Linked DNA regions of Struthio camelus. The protein of the gene in region 3 interacts with the protein of the main gene of each other region in a pairwise test. Links are inferred from orthologs where the notes say so. Each region holds a gene or a part of one and is shown on either strand. Other genes may lie near its edges.

The links.
Region 1: the proteins of RGS2 (region 3) and DDR1 interact in a two-hybrid assay, tested with the Homo sapiens proteins (2 studies listed by BioGRID and IntAct). The link is inferred for Struthio camelus from reciprocal best matches to the Homo sapiens genes RGS2 and DDR1.
Region 2: the proteins of RGS2 (region 3) and CTSB interact in a two-hybrid assay, tested with the Homo sapiens proteins (2 studies listed by BioGRID and IntAct). The link is inferred for Struthio camelus from reciprocal best matches to the Homo sapiens genes RGS2 and CTSB.

Annotation. Positions count from the first base shown.
Region 1 is NC_090977.1:589,261-596,605, reverse strand, and holds the start of DDR1 (epithelial discoidin domain-containing receptor 1), read left to right. Parts: upstream 1-4,292; 5' UTR 4,293-4,453; coding exon 4,454-4,665; intron 4,666-5,147; coding exon 5,148-5,246; intron 5,247-5,654; coding exon 5,655-5,883; intron 5,884-6,640; coding exon 6,641-6,788; intron 6,789-6,890; exon of another isoform or gene 6,891-6,984; coding exon 6,985-7,087; intron 7,088-7,345. UniProt on the Homo sapiens protein: Tyrosine kinase that functions as a cell surface receptor for fibrillar collagen and regulates cell attachment to the extracellular matrix, remodeling of the extracellular matrix, cell migration, differentiation, survival and cell proliferation.
Region 2 is NC_090944.1:11,200,091-11,207,239, forward strand, and holds the start of CTSB (cathepsin B), read right to left. Parts: upstream 3,030-7,149; 5' UTR 3,015-3,029; coding exon 2,978-3,014; intron 977-2,977; coding exon 825-976; intron 273-824; coding exon 187-272; intron 1-186. UniProt on the Homo sapiens protein: Thiol protease which is believed to participate in intracellular degradation and turnover of proteins. Cleaves matrix extracellular phosphoglycoprotein MEPE. Involved in the solubilization of cross-linked TG/thyroglobulin in the thyroid follicle lumen.
Region 3 is NC_090949.1:10,318,344-10,325,507, forward strand, and holds the start of RGS2 (regulator of G-protein signaling 2), read left to right. Parts: upstream 1-4,139; 5' UTR 4,140-4,229; coding exon 4,230-4,339; intron 4,340-4,496; coding exon 4,497-4,598; intron 4,599-4,689; coding exon 4,690-4,751; intron 4,752-5,645; coding exon 5,646-5,812; intron 5,813-6,222; coding exon 6,223-6,417; 3' UTR 6,418-7,164. UniProt on the Homo sapiens protein: Regulates G protein-coupled receptor signaling cascades. Inhibits signal transduction by increasing the GTPase activity of G protein alpha subunits, thereby driving them into their inactive GDP-bound form.

The DNA.
Region 1 (7,345 bases), on a different chromosome or scaffold from region 3:
GTCCCAATAGGGAAGGGAAATTGGGGAATAATGAGGAGAAATTCCCTGCTAATGGGGATTGAGGGGGGAATGGTCCCTAACAGTGAAGGAAAATGGGGAATAATGAGGGAATAGTCTCTAGTAGTGAAGGATATTGGAGAATTATGAGGAGAAAGTCCCTAATAATGGGGATTAAAGGGGAAATAACCATTAATAATGGAGAATTATGGGGACTAGTCCCTAGTAATGAAGGAAAATTGGGAAAAATAAGGGAATAGTCCCTAATAATGGGGAGTAAGGGAAGAATACTCACTAATAATGAAGGAAAATTGGGGGGAAATGAGGGAATAGTCCCTAATAATGGAGAGTAAGGGAAGAATAGTCACTAATAATGAAGGAGAATTGGGGAATAATGAGGAAACAGTCCCTAATAATTGGGTATGAGAGGGGAACAGCCCCTGATAATGAAGGAAAAGGGGAACAATGAGGGAATAAGCACTAATAATGGGGAGTGAGAGGGGAATAGCTCCTCATAACAGGAAATAAGGGGGGAATGGTCCCAAATAAGGGGATAATAGCCCCTAATAATGAAGGAAAGTGGGGAATAATGAGGGAATAGCCCCTAATAAATGGGGAATAACCCCTAATGGGGAATAAGCAGTAGGGTAGCCCCAAGTAATGGGGGAATAGCCCCTAATAATGGGAAAATAATAGGGTATATCCCCTAATAATGGTGGTTAATGGGAAATAATGAGAGAATAGCCCCCAATAATGAGAGATAATGGGAGATATTAGAATAACCTCAAATAACGGAGGAGAAGGGGGGAATAGGCCTTAATGATGGGGAGAAATGGGTAGAAATGGGGGGGAACCCCTAATAATAGGGGAGAATGGGGAATAGCCCCTAATAGTGGGGAATAATGAAAGAATAATCCCTAATAATGGGAGAATAGCAGCTAATTATAGTGAATAATGCGGAATAATGGTTGATAATGGTGGGGCGAGGGAAGGGGAAATAACAGCTAATAACGAAGAATACAGGTTAATAGGGAAATAGCTGCTAATAGTGGGGGAAGGGAACCGGAATAATGAAAATAACTGTTAATAACAGTCAAAAGGGGGGAAATAACAGGATTTAGTTCAGCGCTGGGCTTCCCAGCGAGGGGGGCCCAGGCATCCGGGCGCCCTCGCCCTGGGCCTGGCCCAAGCGAGGAATTCGGCCCAGCAGCTGGGGAGGAAGGCCAGGACGCCTGGGCCCCTGGCAGGGCGGGGGGAGCAGCAGGCACCCAGACCCCACCCCGGACGCCTGGGTCCCTTTCCCCAGCTGCGGCTGATGGGGTGGGAGGAGAGTCGGAGCTGCCCAGACGCCTGGGCCCTCTCCCAGCACCTGTTTTGCAGGGGCGGAGGGGGAAGGGGGGCAGCCCGGACGCTTGGGCCCTGTGGAGCCCTTTGGGATCAAAGCCCCCCCCCCCCCCCAAACAGCTGTTCCCCCCTCCCCAGCTGCTGCCCCCCCACAGCTGTTTTGGGGGGGGAGCAGTTGGCACACCCACGTGGGGACCCAAGCGTCCGGGGGCCCAGGCGTCCGGGGAAAGGGGAGGGGGCACCTCCTCCTCCCTTCCCCCCACCCCGGGGGTATTTTTAGGCCCCGAGACATGCGGTCACTGCCCAGCCATGCGTGGGGGGGGGCAGCCGGATGCCTGGGCCCCCTTGATGGGGGGAGGAGGGGTTACTGTACGTCCATCCGTCTCCCCCACCCTGGGGTCTCCCCCTCCTGGGGCACCCGCAGGCCCGGCTGGGTGCCAGGCCAGGGCTGCGCCGGCTGCACCCAGTACCTGCCTGCCTGGGCCCGGCCCCTTGGCACCGGCCGCTGGGAGCGGTCATGCCCCCGGGGGACCCAGGCGTCCGGGGTGGGGGGCCCCCAAAAGGTGGTTTTGAGAGGGCCCCGAAAAGGGAGTTTCGAGGGGGCCGGATAAAGATAGTTTTGAGGGGACCCCCAAAGGGCAATTTTTAGGGTCCCCCAAAAAGGCAGTTTCATGGGGGCTCCAAAAGGGGGGATTGCGATCCCCAAAATAGGGAGTTTCAAGAGGTCCCAGAAAGGCAGGTGCAAAGGTCCCCAAAAAAGGCAGTTTTGAGGGTCCCCAGAAAGGGTGGTTTTGAGGGATCCCAAAAAGGACAAATTTGAGGGTCCCCAAAAAGGCAGTTTTGATGGTCCCTCGAAAGGCAGTTTCAAGGCATCCCTGGATAGGGCAGATTTGAGGATGACCAAAACGGGCAGTTTGGAGGGTCCCCCAAAAGGTAGTTTCAAGGCACTCCAGAAAGGTAGTTTTGAGGGGTCCCCAAAAAGATGGTTTTGAGGCTCCCAAAAAAGGTGTTTTCACGCTTGGAGGGGGGGGGTTTCAAGCCCCAGGTTATTTCAGAGGGATTTGAGGTGTTTTCAAGCCCCCCCCCCCCTTTTTGGGCGGAGGCCCTTTTGGGGGGAGTCCCAGCCCTCCGCTGTGATTTTGGGGGCCCCTTTTGGAGGTTTCCAGGTCCCCCCCCCCCCCCCCCCGAGCCCCCGGGTGGACAAAGGGAGGGGAACAAAGGGCTTCCCAGAGAGGACCCAGGCGTCCGGGCCCCGCCTCCCCCCCCCAAGGTGAGGCGTGGGAACCCCCTGGGTCCTAGCTGCCCCCTCCCCACCTGCTCCGCCCAAGGGACCCAGGCGTCCGGGCTCCCAAGCCCCCTTGGCAGCCCCACTCCGAGCTTCGGTGGGGGGGACCCAGGCGTCCGGGCTGCCCTCCCCTCCCCTCCCCCCCCCCCGCAGGAGGAGGAGGGGGAGAGGGCCCAGGCGTCCGGGCTGCCCTCCCCTCCCGGAGGACCCAGGCGTCCGGGGGCTGCGGCAAAGAGGAGGCGGCGTGGAGCCTGGTGGGGGCACTGGGGGTGCCGGGGGGGGGGTTTGGGGCGTTTGAGGGCACTTTGGGGGGGTATTGGGGGCACTTTGGGGGAATATTGGGGGTGTTTGGGGCACTTTGGGGAATATTGGCACTTTGGGGGGTTTTGGGGGGATTTTGGGGAATATTGGAGCATTTCGGGGGGATTTGGGGCACTTTGGGGGTATTTGGGGTACTTTGGGGGGTATTTGGGGCTCTTGGGGATATTTGGGGAACTTTGGGGGGGATTTGGGGCATTTCAGGGGGTTTTTGGGACATTGGACGGGTATTTGGGGGTATTTTGGGGGGGATTTGGGTCACTTGGGGCAGAGAGCTGGGGGCCCCCTATGGGGAGCTCTATGGGGCCCATGGGGGGCCCTGAGGGTCCCCCCAGCCCCTGGCAGCCCTTTAGGCACCCCCCACCCAGCCCGTATGGAGGCACCTATAGAGCGCCTGGGCTGCCCTGTGTGTCCTCACTGCCTGCCCCCAGTCCCCTATAGCCCCCTCTAGACTCCCCTGCCACCCTATAGCTCCCTCTGCCCCCCATAGAGCGCCCTACAGAGATGCCTATAGAGCCCAGATAAGGCAGCGCAGCTCTAAGCACCCCCTATACCGGCCCCAGAGCATTTTACAGGTACCTATAGGATGAAACCCTATAGCCTATCTCTATACCCACCCGCACGCAGTGCCCCAGGGAGGCGTGCAGGCCCCTATATAATTCGTTAAGAGCCTTTAAGTGCTCTCTGCCCCGATCCCTATGGCTCTTCATGTTGTGGGTAGCTATAGAGCTGGGCCCTGTGGACCCTGTACGTTCGTGTGTGCGCTTGGCATGTGTGTATAGACACAGGGAAGCCTATACAATGCCGTAAACACCCCTATGGCCCTGGGTAGCCCTGCAGGTAACTGTATAATAAGCAAAGTTTTATGTTTGCACGTACAGTGTGGTGTATATGTATCCGCATACCCTTATATAAGCCATTAACACCCCATAGGCTCCCGCTACGCACCCCTATAGCGCAGCGTGGGTTCAGGGGTGCCTGCAGGTGCAAACCCTCTACCCCTATATGTAGGTACCGGTAGCACTTGTCTGCCCATAGCTTCTCTACGCACACCCCTATAGTACTTTATATAAACTCCTATAGGGGTTTATAGCCATTTTGGGTGTATACTTAGGACTATATAGTTTTTTTATAAGGTACAAAAACTTAGGTATAGATATACATGCCTATAGTAACACATACAGAAGCTTCTGTATCCGCAGGTCTATGTACACATCTATGTGTATCTATGAAGTGCACGCATATAGAAAAAAAACTTATGTAGTGACCATATAAATACAGTATAGGTGTATATGTATATTTGTCTCTTTAAGTGATTCTATGGCTCTACAGTTATATATGTGCTTATAATATATTGTATGTTATATGTGATTAGTAGTTGTGTGTTTCTATGTGTTTTGAAGTATGCGGGAACGTGCTTATATAACGGGGATTTATGAGGAGGGGCTCGAAACAGACATTTAGGGGCTCAAAACTGACCTTTTGGGCCAAGGCAGGGCTCGAAACTGGATGTTTTGGGGCCGGGGGGGGCTCAAAACTGACGTTTCAGGGGAAGGGGGGCTCGAAACTGACATATCTGTCCCCAGGCGGGACGCTGGCGTGTCGGGGTCGCCTTGGGGCCACCATGGGGCCCCTCGGCCTCGCCCCCCTCCTCCTCCTCCTCATCACCACCGCGGGGGCCCAGGTGTCCGAGCTGGAGCTGGACGGGCTCCTCGACCTGGGTGAGACCCCTAATGGGGGCCATATAGGGCTGTGGGGGGGGGGAGCCCTGGGGGATGTATAGCAGTTATATGAGCTTGCGGGTGCCCTATAGGGGCCATGAGGGGTGGTTGGGCTGTAGGGGGTATATAGGGGCCACATGGGGCTGAGGGTCCCCTATAGCAGCCATGAGGGGTGAAGGAGGGTGTATAGGGGCCATAGGGGCTGTGGGGGGCTGATGAGCTGTGGGGGCTGTATAGGGGGTGGGGGAGCCATGAGGGATGTATAGGGGCCCTATATGGGGCTGTGGGTCCCCTATACGAGCCGTGGGGGGCAGGTGGGCTACAGGGGCCCCATGTGGAGCGGTGGGCTATAGGGGGTCTATAGGGGCTGCGTAGGGGATGTGAGGCCAGCGTGTCCTTGCTGTCCCCTGTGACTCCTGTGTGTCCCCCCATGTCCCCCCCCGTCCCTGATGTCCCCCCGTGTCCCCCGTGTCCCCAGGCAGGTGTCGCTACGCCCTGGGCATGCAGGACGGCGCCATCCCCGACAGCCGCCTGACGGCCTCCAGCGCCTGGTCCGAGTCGACCGCCGCCCGCCATGGCCGGTACGGCCCAGTATGGACCAGTATGGCCCTGTATGGCCCAGCGTGGACTAGTACAGTCCAGTGTGGTCCTGGGTCCCCATCCCATCCCACCCCGTGTCCCGTCCCCATGTCCCCTCCCTCCTCCTGGTGTCCTCATCCCGCAGCCCACCATGGCCGGTGAGCCCAGTATGGACCAGTATGGTCCCTGTGCCCTCCCAGCGCCTCCTGGTGTCCTCTCCCTCTGCCCAGTGTCCCCATCCCATGGCCCTGGCCACCCATGTCCCCAATGGTGGCCCCGTGTCCCTGTGTCCCCTGGATGTCCCCATGTCCCTAGGTGTCCCCTTGTCCCAGCTAGTCCCATTTCCCTAGGTGTCCCCGTGTCCCCTGGGTGTCCCCCCCATCCCCTCAATGTCCCCTTGGTGTCCCCAGGCTGGGCCGCAGCGACGGGGACGGCGCCTGGTGCCCTGCGGGCCCCGTGTACCCGGACGAGGCCGAGTTCCTCGAGGTGGACCTGGGCCAGCTGCACGTGGTGACACTGGTGGGGACGCAGGGACGGCACGCTGACGGCCACGGCAAGGAGTTCGCCCGGGCCTACCAGCTGCGCTACACCCGTGACCGGCACCACTGGCTCCGCTGGCGTGACCGCTGGGGCGCCGAGGTGACCGGGCACCTTGGGGACCCCTTGGGGACTTCAGGAGGCGGGGGGGACATGGGGACGCGGTGGGGACACGGGGCGTACCGGCTGCCCTACAGCTGCCACTGGCACTGCTGGCTCCACTGGCTCGGGTGCTGAGGTGACCAGGCACCTTGGGGACACCTTGGGGACCGTGGAGACACCTTGGGGACACCTTAGGGACATGGTGGAGATCTCTTGGGGACCTTGGAGATGTCTTGGGGACACCTTGGGGGTGTGGTGGGGATCCCTTGGGGACCTTGGAGACCCCTTGGGGACCTTGAGGACACCTTGGGGACGTGGTGGGGACATGGGGACACATTAGGGACAGGGGATCATGGGGACCTTGGGTGCATGTTGGAGATTTTGGGGACATGACAGACCCCAGGGGACCCTGGGGGCATCCCAGGGATCACCGAGGGGCACTGGGAGACCCCAGGGCTCGCTGGGGATCCGGGTGATCCTGGGGCCTCTGGGACCCCTGGGGAGGCACTGGGATCACTGGGAGGCCCTGGGGATCATTAGGGATCTGGGGAGATCCCAGGGGCTGTGGGACCCGTTCAGGGACCTTGGAGGTCTCCAGGGATCCCTGAGGGTGCTGGGAGATCCCAGAGATCTAGGGGGATCCTTGAGTGCCTGGGTCCCCCTGCGGGGACCTTGGGGTCCTGGGGGGGGCTCAGAGGACCCCCGGGGGATGCCAGGTGGGGATCCGGGGGGATCGGGGGCTGACGCGGGGCCGCAGGTGATCGCGGGCAACGAGGACCCCGAGGCCGTGGTGCTCAAGGACCTGGCGCCAGCCGTGGTGGCCCGGGCCGTGCGGGTCTACCCCCGCGCCGACCGCGTCATGAGCGTCTGCCTGCGCCTCGAGCTCTACGGCTGTCCCTGGCGCGGTGAGTGTCACCGTCACCGCCTGTCCCCGTCCCCCGGTGTCACCTTCCCCCCCCAACCCCCACCCCGGTGTCCCCATCCCCGACGGCGGCGCGAGTGCCTACTTGTGCCCCCGGCTCTACGGCTGCCCCCGGGGCGGCGAGCGTCCCCGTGTCGTCGCGTCACCACGTCCGCGGGGTGACACGCTGCTGTCCCCAGCGGGGCTCCTGTCCTACGCGGCACCACAGGGGCAGGTGATGGCCCTCGACCCGGCGCCCGTCGTCCTCAACGACTCCACCTACGACGGCCACAGCATCGGCCAGTGAGTCCCCCCAGCGCCGCGTCACCGTGTCACCACGTCCTCGCGTCACTGTGCCACTGTATCCCCCTGTCCCCGCGTCCCCATGTCACCGAGTCCCTGTGTTCCCTGCATCCCCTTGTCACCGTGTCCCCATATCCTTGCATCACCATGTCACCGTGTCACTGTGTCCCCATGGCCCCACGTTGTGTCCCCGCATCCCTGTGTCACCGTGTTGCCATGTCCCCACGTCGCTGTGTCACTGCATCCCTGCATCACCCT
Region 2 (7,149 bases), on a different chromosome or scaffold from region 3:
TTGTACCCTCTTCACACCCTCTTCTTGCAAATCAAGCATCCAGTCCCAGAGCACCCCATGCAGAAGCATGCAGGGGGACCCAGCTCAGAGCCTGTTGGGAAAGGGCCCTCACCCACTGCAGACTTGCACAGGAGCATCCACACAAGCTTTTGCAGGGCCATCATCTTCCTTTCTCCGATTACTCACCTGATGGGGAGCTTGGGCCCACCCAGGAATGTGCCACAGAGCTTCTTCACATAACTCATGTCAGTGTTGTGGAAGTTGTGCCCTGCCTGGGAAGAGACAGAGTGACTGAACATGACTCTACAGCCACTACGTGCAGTCCGCAGCCACAGCATGACTAGCCTGGGGCTCCAGATCTTCCTCGAACCCAACCTGTATCTGATACTTGCTTTTAAAACCCAGAGGCCAAGAGCCAAGCTGCTTACGGTGACAGGACAACACAGCCCCTTCCAGGAACAGGGCACTGTGGCCAGTAAGCTCAGGTCCAACTCTAAGCTTTGGCCACAGCAGCATGGCAAAGCCAGGTTTGGCCAGGTTGGCAATATACTTCTACACTTGCTGTTTGTTTCCACTGCCCTGCAGAGTTCCCTCTCCTCTCAGCATTACTCCTAGTCTATGAATTCATCAGTGCTCTGCTCTAAGGAGGAGGTGCACAATCATTGTCACTGCAGGAATCCCTGATGGCATCAACTCATTGGGGAGGCCAGCTGGGACCCAAGGCTGGTTGGAGGCAAGCACTGTGATGAGACTCCCAAATCACAGCTGTTGAGTCCTATGGAGAGGAGGTCCCACAATCTGTCCAAAAAATCCCCTGCACTCACCTTCCAGGTGGTGTTGAGCTTGTTTATGTGGTTGACCAAGTCACTGGAGAGGGGAGGGTAGTGAGGAATGCTACGGGCATTGGCAAAAGCCACCAGGACACACAGGACAGACACAGACTTCCACATCTTGGCTTCAGAACAGGTTCCTTCACCTGCAACACAATTTGGTTATCATTTGCCTGAACACCAGCAGGAAACCATCCCAACCTGAGGTCAGACTGCTCTGCTGCAAGGAGGATCTGGCAGGGCTTGGCAGAAGGACTGCTAGCAGCTGTTTACCAGCAACACACAGGAGGATAAAACACATGCCTGCACAAAATCCCTCCCAATCCTGATTTACCTAGAAGGTCAGGAGCAATGCAAGAGTGTGCTAATAACTCCCTTCCTGCAGCCCAGAAGAAGTCAGACAGGGCAATGCTGTTTGGTCAACTGCTGCAGGATTAACAGCAGCAGGAAACTTGCTTTTGAAGCAGGTCCAAGGGTTTGTGTTTGGAGGGTCTCACAAGCTGTTTACTTCCAAGAAACAGAAGAGCTAAGGACTAAGAGGGATTAAATGATCTACCCCACATCAGATCCCAGCAGAGCTGTAGCCCCCGTGTACTTGCTAGCCCACTATCCTAACACAGCACTCTTCCCTTTGAGGGCCTCCCTCCCACAGCTCCCCTCCAAATCACATTTCTGGGCTCTACAGCCTCATTTGGCCAGTCTATCACCCTCAGGACCCTAAACACAGTCACATCCCCTGAGGGAAGGGATTCCTGCCCACAGAGAGGAGGCCTAAGCCCTATAGGAACAGTCCATCACTACAGCCTATACTCCCCTCCCGTGTGGGACTTTTCCACAACGGAGGTTTGACACTGCATCCCTTGGCACAGGGCACCAGGAAAGTTCCAGGCTGAGGAAGAGAGTCACAGCAGGGGGAAATCCAAGAGCACAGCAAGAGTCAGCCACAGGCCTCCTGCCTCCCACATGGAAGCACAACCACAACATAGGTACAGGTTCAGTTTTGCCACCTGTGTACTCCTCAGCTCAATCAAATCCTTTAAGCAACTTGACCCTCAGTTTAAAGCTTGCTAGTGCCAAGAGGAGATGCTCCAGCCTCACCTCCACACCGCCTTGCACCACCTAGGCATCAGTTCAGCTCACTCATCCAGCAGAAAGCTAGTCTGCTGGACAATGGTTTGGAGGACAGGCAGTCACACCACCACTCCATTTCTTCCTGCCTAGTTTTAACCTAATTTAAACCACCCTGCTCCATTTTAACCCTTTTATACACCTACAGCCGAAGCAGCAACCCTTCACACTTCTCAGCACCTCTGCACCCAACTCAGATTGGTTGGACGGGATCAGACATCCAGCCGCGTTATGAGCCAATCAGCCTTTGCAAACATGCTGCGGTATCCTCCTCCACCCACAACCTCCTGGCTCACTTTAACAAAGCTCCATCAGCCCCAAGCTCCAAGCCTGACTAGCAACCCAAGACCTCAGATACTCAGCAAAGCCCCAAACAGCAGAGACACTTAGGCCCCAATTCCAACTCATCTCAGCGAGTTAAACATGTAATCATCTCTCAGAGGCTGCACTTAAGCCCTTCTGGGCTAATATGCCTAAGCAGCCAAATAACTACCAGCAGCAGCTGTGCAGTCTCATGGCAGCAAAGCTTTCTGAACAGCCAGGTTCAAGCTGACGACGGACAGAGGCACACACATCTCCACGCATGTTGCCTCCACCCACTCACAGCCAAGTTTAGCCTTCCCAGAGAAGAAAACCCAGCAGGACTGTCCTACTTTCTGCCAGCTACAAGCCTGGGCAGTTGCAGCTAACCATATAAAAGGGCTTTTATTTTTCCCCTGCCACCATTCACTTTAATGTGGCCTCTTTGTGCTTTCAGCAGGACGCTCTGCTGGAAAGCTAGTCAAGTTTCAGAAATACACTGTCCCTCCTTCAAATCTCACTTCTTTGAAGAGGTTTTACATGTATTTGTGTGCTTAGAGGTTTCTCACAGACAACCAACTTGGTGGTACTGCCAGAGGACAGGTCTCCAAAGCCTCCAAACCTTCTCTTCTTGCCATGTTTTCCTGCTTAGCCAGCAAAAAGGTTACACTCAAAGAAAATGCACTTTTCCAATGCTAACATGGTTTTTGACTACTGACCCTTAAACACAACTATAGAAAGCCTACAGGCGACCATCTTGGGCTGAAGTGGTGCAAAGCAACTTCTTCAGGATCCCTGCCAGCTCCTTGGGCTAAGCCACATCACAGGCTTTGCTGCATGGAAAACAGGTCCACGGTGTGTTATTAGCGCTGCTGGCAAGTCCCCAGAAGCCAGTTAGTGAAGGGAGAGGGTCTACCATAACTTTATTGGCTCCCACTGGGAAGAGGGCTCCTCGTTTCTGTTACATGGGTCTAAAAAAAGGCCTTGCCTGCTCTGCTGGAAAGTCACAACATCCAAAATGACCAAAACACATGCTGGAAAGCCACAGGCTTATCTTCCTATATCTACACACAGCCAGAACAAACTGAACTAGCAACAGCTGAGCTGGGTCCAGAGCACTTAAACCCCCACCCAACACACACTCCTTTCTGCCCTCCCCAGGCTTTAGGGGCCTGGTACATATTTAACCAGAGTTTAGTCAAATCCCTCTGCACTCACAAGATGTTCCCTCACCACCCCATACCACGACCATTATAACACCACAGGGCATCCATTCCCTCAGCAAGGTCACTCAGATGGTGCAACAACCTGGCCACATTCAGGGGAAGGTGTCAGGCCACATCTCCCTGCAAGGCTCCTGGTGAGCAACCAGTAGAGACAAACTTCCACTACCACCAGCATACTGAGCATAGCTCAGCTCTGAGACTAAAAACTTCCTCTACAGTCTTTAAAACCCTCTACCTTCCAGCTGTAAAGTTTCTATCTTCCGTAGCACAGAAAGGAGGCACTTTTGAAGCCAGGATCCATTTGATACAGGTTTGTTTTCATTCGGACACTTGTGGATTTGATGACATGCCAAAAACCTATTCTGCAAAGCCTCCTGCACCTATAAGGCTGCTTGCCCAGAGCTCCTGACAGACAGCCTCAGGAGAGCTCACATCCTCAGGTTACAAGATCACAGCCACTGTCAACTGGGAGCTCCAGTCAACCCGAGACTGAGCTGAAAAGAGATACCCTCTTTGCAATGCAATCCCCCCTCTGACAGACACCTATATTTTAAGCAGGCTGCATGCTTGCTGCATTGCATTTGCCCCACAGAGTGGCTCACAGCCAGCAAACCCAGCAGGAGAAAGCAGCTTCATCTCCCAGTGCAACTCATTAGCTGGGAGCTGGTCAGTCATTTTAATAGAAAAAGTCTCTTGCCAAATCTCCTGTGGGCTCAGTGCCAGAAGTTTTGGGGGGCTCCAACTCAAAGCAAGAATCAGTTGTCAGGTTACTGCTGGATTACATGGACTATCCCAAGATTTGGGTGGAGAAGGAAGGGGAAACCCTTTGATCTCATGTGATTTGTCCCTCTATTATGCCACAGCTAAAGCAAGTACCCTGTGTATAACAAATCTATATATAGAGCAAGAGCAGGCACAGGACTTGCGGGACCAATTTCTGCAGACGACTGCAAGATATTGAGTCACGTGCACCTGACAAGTCAGAGGCAGTCATCAGGCAGCTTAAAGGCATTTGAGAGGCAAAGCAGAAGTAAAAGCAAGGCCGCTAGCTTCTGTGATCATTCCCTTTCCCTACAGATAAGGCCAAGTAAGACTCATGCAAGATAAAGCTGCCACGTGAAGTATTTCCCCATCGTCACTATCTCTTCTGCACATGCTGTTGCTCTGCAGGCAGTTGGCACCTCATGTCTTTCCGTCTCAAAGCTTCATAGCAAATTCAAATACCAAAGGAGCCCAAAGAGCAGCACCAAAACCAAGCCTGAGTAGAGACATACAACATGGGCAGCTAAAGCTCGCGATTCAAGCAGCAGTTCCCTATCACTAAATCCCCTTGTCCACTACCCCACTGGCTCCATTGTATGTCCTACCAAGCACAGGACATGGCACCTTCTTCAGGCACAGGCTCAGCCTTCCAGCCCTGCTTCCCTCCAGGTAGCCAAGTGTATTCAGGAATCAACTGCTGCAGCACTTGCTCACACACCAGGACAACCAACCTATGCACACAAGATGCCGAAGCTCAAAAGACAGCAAATCTAGCCTGGCCACACACACACAGAGCACACGCAAGGCCCAAGGCCTCACAGTTTGAGGATGACTCTAGCAGAGGTTGTCTTCACAGGCCAAACCCCATCACAACCTCTTAGCTTGTGAAAAGGCAGCTGAGCAGGTTAAAAAAAAAAAAAAAAAAAACAAACTTATCTGTTTGACTTCTTCGGACACAGCAACTTCATCTCAGCAACCCCATCAGGTCCCAGGGAGACATTTGGGGCTTGCAGTCAGCCCTCAAGACCTGTTCCATCTCCTCTTGGGCTGGACCTGAGAGGAAGTACCCCACCAAGGGCTTTAGGATCCAAAGCATCTTAGTGCAGTCTCTCAAAAAGAAAATGAGAAATTACCTCCAAGAAGTAGCTACCCACAAGCAAGCTCACACCTGGCCCAGAGCAGGACCCACACAACTAGCCTTCTAGCAGCTAGATGCTCACTAAGAGGAACTTGGGCCATATGAGCACAGGCCTCAAGTTGTCAGCCAGGGAGAAGAGCCTCAGAGGCAGCACAGAGGCCGAATGCGCTCCAATGCAAGCCATTAAGAACAGCTCCAGCACATGAGGGAGGAGAGCACCTGCACTGAGATGGTGGCTGCTCATGCTGCACCACCTACACACAGGTCCTCTGCATTTCCTGCTGCTGTTTGCAATCATACAAACAGAGGGAAGGAGGTAAGGAGCTGACTTATCACCCAGGTCCCTCACTATCCCTGGGAGATTGAGGCTAGAGGCAGCTCCCTGCCTGCTTTCCCAGGGACAGGCCCACAAACACTCAAACCATGTTAAACCAGAGAGAAGAGCACGTCTGAGGGTCACGTAACCTTCTCCCATACTGCTGAAGCAGCCAAGGGAGATGTACCTGTACTCCTGAAGAGCAACAGGGGACCCTTTGCAGTTCACAGCAGCCCTAGCTGCAGAGGCCCACCAGTAGACTCTTCCACACATTGCCCAAAGATCTAAGAGCACAAGCCCCAGTTAACTAGGAATTTCTCTCCACTCCTTTCCCCCATGTTGCCTGTGCAACCAAAGGGGCAGGAGATGGGCTAGTCAAAGCACAGCTCACATGACCCAGTTTAGGCAGGCTAGGCCACAAGGAGAGTCACACCCAGAAGCACCTCTCAGCTGGTTCACAGCACCTGGGCCAAACCCCTCCAGGCACAGATAGAGGCACCCACCCACTCTATGTCTGAGAAAGATAAAAGCTGTCTCACTGTCACAGCCATAGTGCACCATCCCTCCAGGGTTAGAAGTACTCAGCAAAACTCAAGTCATGTGGCCTCCTCTAGCAACAGCCTTCTTCCCAAGATGAGCTTTGTCCTTTGTTCGGGCCAGCACTACACTGGCTGCCAGTATTTGTGCATGACTCTAAGCCACAATAAAGCAAGTGTATAAATAAAGCAACCCTGCTTAGCTTGATGCACTGAAAGTTTAGCTTGGTGGCCAACATGCACGCAGTAAATCTATAGCCAGGTGACTTCATTACAGCCATTACAAAGCTCAAACCACTGTCATCCTCCCCTCCTCTTTTTTTTTTTTTAAAAATATGCATGATCCCCACCCCCATTCCTTTTCAGGAAAGCCAAGCCTTTAGTACAGTCTGGATAACTAACAAAAAACCCTAACAGCAAACAAAAAAACATGACTGCATCTTGAGACAAGTTGCCCTAACAGAAAATGAAACTTCCAAATTCCTCCTTAATGGAACTGCACCGATTTTTCTTTTTTTGGAGAACAACTTCTTAGAGACTGATCCATAAACCAGAGTCTTACATAAGACCTCAGTTGCTGTAAAAGATACTGTAATAGCAATATTCTAGTTCACTGCCCTCATCAACACCCTCAACTTTGTGACCTGGAGGGAAACATAACAAGGAAGTGCTCTTTGCTCTATCAGTGCACTTCTTAGAGCACAGTATCTGGACCATTGCACCATAGGCTGGCATGAAACAGCCTTTCTTCTGCACCATCCCCAAGCCAGAGCCGTGTGCATCACGGGATGTTCCCAGAAGCACTTCGGCAGGTGCCAACCCGACCTCCCTAGCGTCAGCTGACGAGCAGGCCTGTTTTGTTTCAGTCTTCATTATGAGAAGAAGATTTCCTCTCTCCTCCCCCTCCACTTCC
Region 3 (7,164 bases):
GCGCCAGCTGTGGGAAGCAGCACATCAGTGCTCTTGGCTGGTCTCCTATTCTGATGCTTCAATGAGCCATTTCAGACACAGCACCAGGACTGCAGAGCTGTAAATTAAAAAAGAATAGCGTGAAAATACATGAAAACGCCCCTGTGTAATCTGCAAAATGTATTACAGACCAAAGAGATACATCTCAACATCTTATTCCTTTTTGAATATTATTTGCCTGCTAGCCATAGATAACAGGGGTTCAATAAACAGAAGACATTTCTCAAACAACTAATGCATGGTTTGAACTACTCCATAAAAGCACATTCCTCCCTCTTCGCTTTAGGAAAGCTTGCTAAAGTCTTCAGATGATTTTTCATAAGTCTTCCCCATCATCCAAGTCTCCTCTATAAGAAGGATAAACAAGGATGAGCATTTTAGAAAAATGTAGATACAGATTTAAATAGTGTGCAGTGAGTACTACTCACTAGGGACTCGGATAAGATCAACACAGCTATTGCAACACATAACGTAACCAAGACGGAAAAAGCCTCATTTCCCCTCCTGGATGTTCACTGCATACGTTACAGCCCTCTGTACATCTCGCTACTGCTGAGGTTAATAGAAATCCTATAAGCACAGAAAGAACAGAACATTCTCAAGAAAGCCTCTACAAAGAGGAGCGCGATCCCCAGGGTGAAAGCTTGTGTCATTGCAAGTTTGAGCCCAGATTTCATCGCAGGCAATGGCTAAATTCTCACTGACTTCAATCGCAGAGCTTGGGCTGTAAGACCCCACCACCACCACACTGCCTTGGTCTTATCCTTTTCAGTGAGGTTTCATTTACAGATTTTTCCTCAGCTACTGAGAGCTTAATCTTTTGGAAAGGACTGATGTCAGCATACATGGGGACAATTTTGGCCCGACTGGTTGGTATGCTGATGTTAGCTGCGCAGACGGATCACATACCAGATGCCCATTCCCGGAGAGCGGCATCCCAATAGGGAGCCTGACGCGGCATCTGAAGTTGCCTATTTTTAGGCCACGTCATGCATTGTGCTGTACCAGCACACCGAACCCTGTGCTCCGACCCCAACCGAGGGCTTTTCTCATTCTCCCAAAACGTTCGGGATAACGCTAGCAGAGGGGCACAGAAGAGGATCGAGAGGCCAATACTTCCTCGCTTGGTTCAACTAGTACAGAGCAGCAATTGGGGGAAACCTGAACCACGTTCAGAAAGGCAGGCTGAGGTCCTGAGCCAGTTTGCCATCCCTGCCTTGAAAAAACTAGAAACTGGTAGAACACGGTAATATTTAGGTTTGATGCATCTAAAACTGCCCGCTCAGCAAGCCCCCTCACCAGCAAAGCCTCAGCACACCCTGCAGCCTGTTTTGCAGCACATCAGTGACATCATTTGATATCAGATTTTTGTTATTACACAAATGGAAAATATCTTTCATCATACAAATAAGTAATCTACCTTCTAGCAAAGGTTAGCATCAGAGAAAGAAATCACGCTGCACAGCGCGATGAAGCAGGAAAATATTTTGAAAAGTTCTTCTGCAGACAAAACAATAAAACTCAGCCTTTATGAGTACAATCAAGCTGTAAGTTAAAAATACACGCATCATACAGGCAATAAGATTTGATTTTAATTTCAATAGTTCTTAAGCTAGAATGCGCCAGTAAGTACATTTTATAAGGCCATCTAATCTCAGTTCTATATTCAGCTTGTGTTTTTTTTTTTTAAAACCTGGAATACTATTTATTTTTTTCCACTGTTCAAAGAGATTACAAATTTTATAAGGTCCCTCCTTAACAGGCACTTTTTTTATGGGTATCTGAAAGAGGCAATTAAAAAGTTTACAATAAAAAGGATCAGACAAACACGTTTCCCACTGCAATTTTCCATACACCAACTACTGCCAACTTTACAACTTGGCAGACGCATGGGAATATTTCAGCTTTACCTTACAAGTCTCCTCCCGAAGTATCAAGAAAGCATTTTGTCAAGCTTCAAACTTCAGCAGGTTCTCGTGTTTGATACGGATAAGCCCCCAAATTCTGACTGCTTAACCAAACCTTACTGTAGCTTGGACTTTGGAGTTCTCATTTCCACTGCTCTTGGGCATATTTTTCCTCAGGTCTCTCAGAGCCACTGGCTGTTTCCATCCCCTCTCAGTTACTGTCCTGTTTTCCCACTACTCTGCACCTTTCCCCACAAGCATCTATGGAGGATCATATACACCTGCCAATCCTATAATTACACCACTCCAAAACACTTTTATCTCTTTGAGCTTCCCTGCAGACTCCCCGCCCCTCCCAAGCAGGTCCAAGTTATTTCAAGACCCTGCTTCAGAGTTTGATGAGCTTCTGTAGCAGACCTACAGACAGAAATCCCCCAAGTTCACCGAGAAGCTACACAAGTTACAGTTCATACTATGCTACTAATTCCAGGGCAGATATTCAAAGATAAGGGACTCTGGGTGAATCAAGGTGAAAGAAACTTGAAACCAGCATCAAAAGTGTGTGTGGGGGGAAATCACTCCCAATCAGGCAGAAGAGTATGATATGCTGAGCGTCATGGCCTTGCAGCAGCTGGGTGAGAAAAATCTGCTCTGCTCTGGGTAAGGCCCTGGGCTGTGTTTCCAGTGAGCTCCAGTTTATGCCAGAGCAGCCTACCCACCCCAGTGGGGAGGCCGCGTGCCATGAAGTTCACATGTGCGGACAGCATTCCCAGCCTCCAGCAAGTTACAGGCTGTTCAGCAGCTCCTGGCAAGCTCCTGCCCATATCATTTGCAGCTGCACAGCTCGGCCGACCATGGAGCTTGCTGCGAGCAAGGATGGAGATGCTTGGAAGCAAGTCAGCACAGCTCTATCCATCACACAGGCACCATCACTGCTGCCCTGCTCTTGGGCAAACTCCCACCAATGGAGCTTCTGACACTGATGTTTTCACACCGCCTTACCTCCCCTGGTGTCTCCACAGGCCCTCTCCCCCATGGTAACATCTTCATAACAATCTCCCATCAAAAATGTGTAATTATATATACAGCTAAGAGCTACCTGCTGCAAAAAGCATTCAAAGCAATTCTGTAAAGTTCAGAGGATGGGATTTTATTTTCCTACCAGACCCCCCTCAACATATCCTGCAAAGGACATCCAACAGGCAGCACTGAAAAGCAACCTTATTCAGACATTTTTACAAATTACATGACATTCATTTGCTCCATATATCTCATCTACAGCAAAATGCCTTCGCACAGCCGTACGCTGCAGCCACTGAGGTTATCAGACTGCAGCAATCACCGAGAAGGAGCAGGCATTCAGAGCTACATGACTGCAAGGAAACCAGTCAGCATGGTGGGAGTCAAATAGTCTCTCTGCTTTTCATGGCAGAAAAATGTGGTGTAGAGCAGTGTGGAAAGGAAGACACACTCACAGAAAAGAGGAGAAAAGTAGGGCAGGTTAAAGAGAAACTCATATGATTCACAAATCGAAAAGTCTTTGGGCATGATGCCCTTCAGACAGACACCGCTGAGAAGGACCACATGGCCTCTGCAGCAAGCCAAAGGCTGAAGTCATTGCAATTTCAGCTTCATGCACGGAGAGTAATTTACACAAGTCGTTGGTAGGTGGCAACACTACACAGGAATAAAAAAAGCACGGACAGCTTATTAAAGTGATGAATAGCCCGAGTCAGCTCAGAGGCGGACACTACAAACACCAAATACTCAGATTTACAATTATTTCACTTCTTTGAAGAAAGGTGGCTACAGAGTCCTTCCTTATCCTTGAAGGCGCCTGTGTACTGGCCACACTCAAAAGCGTGTCTTTCCTTAAAAACACACCTGCCGAACCGCATCTCTGACTCACAGAGCAGAACGAAGAGCTGCTGCTCCGCCAGCACCTGCGGGACGGGCTCCCTTGCGAGCAGCAAAAACCTCCCGAGACACTAGCAACCAGGAGCGAGGGCAGGAGGAGGAGAACAAGAAAAAGAAGGGGAGGAGGGAAAAAAGGTTTCCGAGGGTTTCTGGGCTGGAGCACAGCCCCTGCCCGTCTTCGCTTACCAACAGCGAGCGTGCCCTCTGGGAGCTCCGCGCCCGGCAGGAGGGGCCGGGCCCGCTCCGCGGGGGCGGAGGCGCAGGCGGAGCCGCCCCCCCGCCCGGCTATAAGGCAGCGCGCAGCGGCGGCGGGGCCGCAGCGTGGCCGGGCCGGGCCGAGCGGAGCGCGGAGACGAGCGGAGCGCGATGCAGAGCGCGCTGTTCCTGGCGCTGCAGCACCGCGGCGCGCAGATGGAGCGGAGCGGCCGCCGCCGCGGCGAGGAGGCGGAGGAGAAGGGCCGGGTGAAGAGGACGATGTGAGTCGGGGTTCGCGCCTGGGCTGCTGCCCGCGAGCCAGCGCGGCCGCGGAGGGGCGCGGAGCGAGCGGTGCTGCCGCTGCCGGGGGGGGAAGAAGTCACCACCTCTCGGCCTTTCCGAGCAGTCACTTTAAACACCCCTTTTTCATTCTTCCAGCATTAGAGACTGGAAAACGAGACTGAGCTACTTCCTGCAAAACTCCTCCAGTTCTACTAAAATGAAATCCAAGAAAGCAGGAAAGCACCACACCTACTTCAGGTAACTTCTGAGAAGCAGACTTGAAGTGACTCAAATATCTTGCAAACAAAAAAGAGCTGTAGTCTAATGTATTCTCCATTGCTTTATGCAGACCTTCCCCTGAAGAAGCCCAGCTGTGGTCAGAAGCTTTTGATGAACTTCTTGCTAACAAATGTAAGTTTGTCTTTAAAAAGTAACTTTTAGGAACAAAAGGGGGGTGAAGCTTCTATGCATTTCTAGGAGGTTTCTTCCTTGTGTGTCAGCCATATACCTCACTTTTGCTAATGCACACAGCTTCGATTCTGATCTTGGAAATAAACACTTTAAACCATTTCAAATCCGAATTTATAGAAATGTTATTTTCAAGTTATTTGTAAGCCAATATTGAAACATCGAGAACACTTTGTAGTAGAGGAATTTATTCTTGTTTTAGCTATAACCTCTGCAATGAAACCATACCTCTAGTTGGCTTTGCCAAATGCCAAAGTGCATTTGTTCACTGTGCTCTCTGCATATCCTAGACAAATGCACTACAACAATTTGGAAATTGTTTTGCAACACTGGTGTCAACAGAAGTTCAGTCGATAATCTCTGGGTTTTACCATTGCCCTGCAAGGAAAGCGCTTAGCAGCAGGGCAAAAAGGACTAAGAACTAACATCAGCATTTGCTCTTTGACCTTGAGTCATCCTTTCTGCCACAAAAATATTCCAGAGGTTTGTAGCAGTGTCATAAATATTTACTCCAGTCTAAAGGTTAACACATTAAATCCTATCAAGAGAAAATTTTAAAGTATACATGCATACATCACAAAAGGGAACAGAGGCTAGAGATGGCTTTCATTTGTGTTTACCTAAAAACAGCTAACTTAAGTGAAGCTTGCCAAGCCATTAGAGCGTTAATTTGTTTGCATACATAAATGTGGACTTTTATTGCCATGGCATCCGTGAAAGAAATACACCAGAACTACAGCAATATGTTTGGTAGGAGAAGACATGACAAATGGGTAAATTCAAGATTCCTGAAATACGTAATTGATGTATTTTTGCTTCCCCCCCGCCTTTCCCTAGATGGTCTTGCTGCTTTCCGAGCTTTTCTGAAGTCAGAGTTTTGTGAAGAGAACATTGAGTTCTGGCTGGCATGCGAGGACTTCAAGAAAATCAAGTCACCCCAGAAGCTGACAGTGAAAGCAAAAAAGATTTACAATGACTTCATTGAAAAGGAAGCTCCCAAAGAGGTAAAAGGAACTATATAAACACAATTGCCCTATTCTGTGGCTTTGTAAAGCCCTGCTTTATTTCTCTGCACTCATTTCAAGTTAAATGCCAAAAATTCATCATACATAGCTCCTTGTTAGTATCTGCATCAGATCAGAACTCACTTCCCTAACTGCATTTTCACTAGGTTGGAAAACTGCACAAACCGTGTTTCAGAGAGCACCCATCTTATTTCAGCTAGGAAAAAAATCAGAGCATCATTTAATACCTGTAACATATCTGAGAGTTAAACATGGAAACATCATATCATCTGAACTGCTTTCCTTAAGGAAGTTTCATCAATTGAAGGCTGTAGCAATAGGGTCTTTAACTTTTCTCACCTGTTACAAAATGTAGTTCTCTGAAGTAAGTGTCCTTCTTTGTATTTCAGATAAACATAGATTTTCAAACCAAGAACCTGATTGCTCAGAATATTCAAGAAGCTACACATACCTGCTTCAGTGCCGCACAGAAGAGAGTTTATAGCTTAATGGAGAATAACTCATATCCACGGTTTTTAGAATCTGAATTCTATCAGGAACTGTGCAAAAAGACTCCCATCACCAGAGTGGCCCAGGCAACATGAGCTACAGCAAGGAGCAAGGAGAAGTCTTGCAGCTACTGAAGAAGAAAGCCACAGATCCCCAGCTGCATCCTGACCAGAAGGGCTGAGATACCAAGTGCACAGTCCATCTGCCAGGATGCATGGACAAATATCAACTGTGTTGCAAAGCCGATAGCAGGGGATGATGCTGGAGGGCGTGCAGGGAGAGTTGGCAGCCAGCTGCTAGGGACACACCTTTTTCTGTGAACACTGGTGTGAAAAGGTGATTCCACATTTTCGATGAAGCCGAGTGACGTGACATTCCTCATGTCACAGTGGAGGTGTTGATACAGTAGGTTAGAGCAGAGCTTCCTTTTTGTAAACACAAGCAGCTCTGTACAGCTGAGCAGTGCTGGGAGCTTGAGTAATTGGTTACGTACTTATTTTTCCTAAACATCAACAGTGCTGCTGTCATCATTCACTTAGTGTCTTAACACCAGTTGTGTAAACTAAAGACTTCTAGCTGCAGACAGATGTATCAGGCTTCGCTGCAACTGCTCAACACTATAGCACTGTCACCAGCAGTATGAAGTGAGGAGGGGGGGGATATAATTCACTTCCCAGAGGAGCAGGTTGTGTAACTTAAGTATACAGGGCTGCATGATGTCAGTGGGGCTGCAGGAGAGCAGGCTGAGGGCAGAACATGGCCACAGCAAACAGGAACTATACATATTATATGCAGATTGTGGTTGTGCTGAATGCTGCATTATGTCATAATTCTGTCTTGAG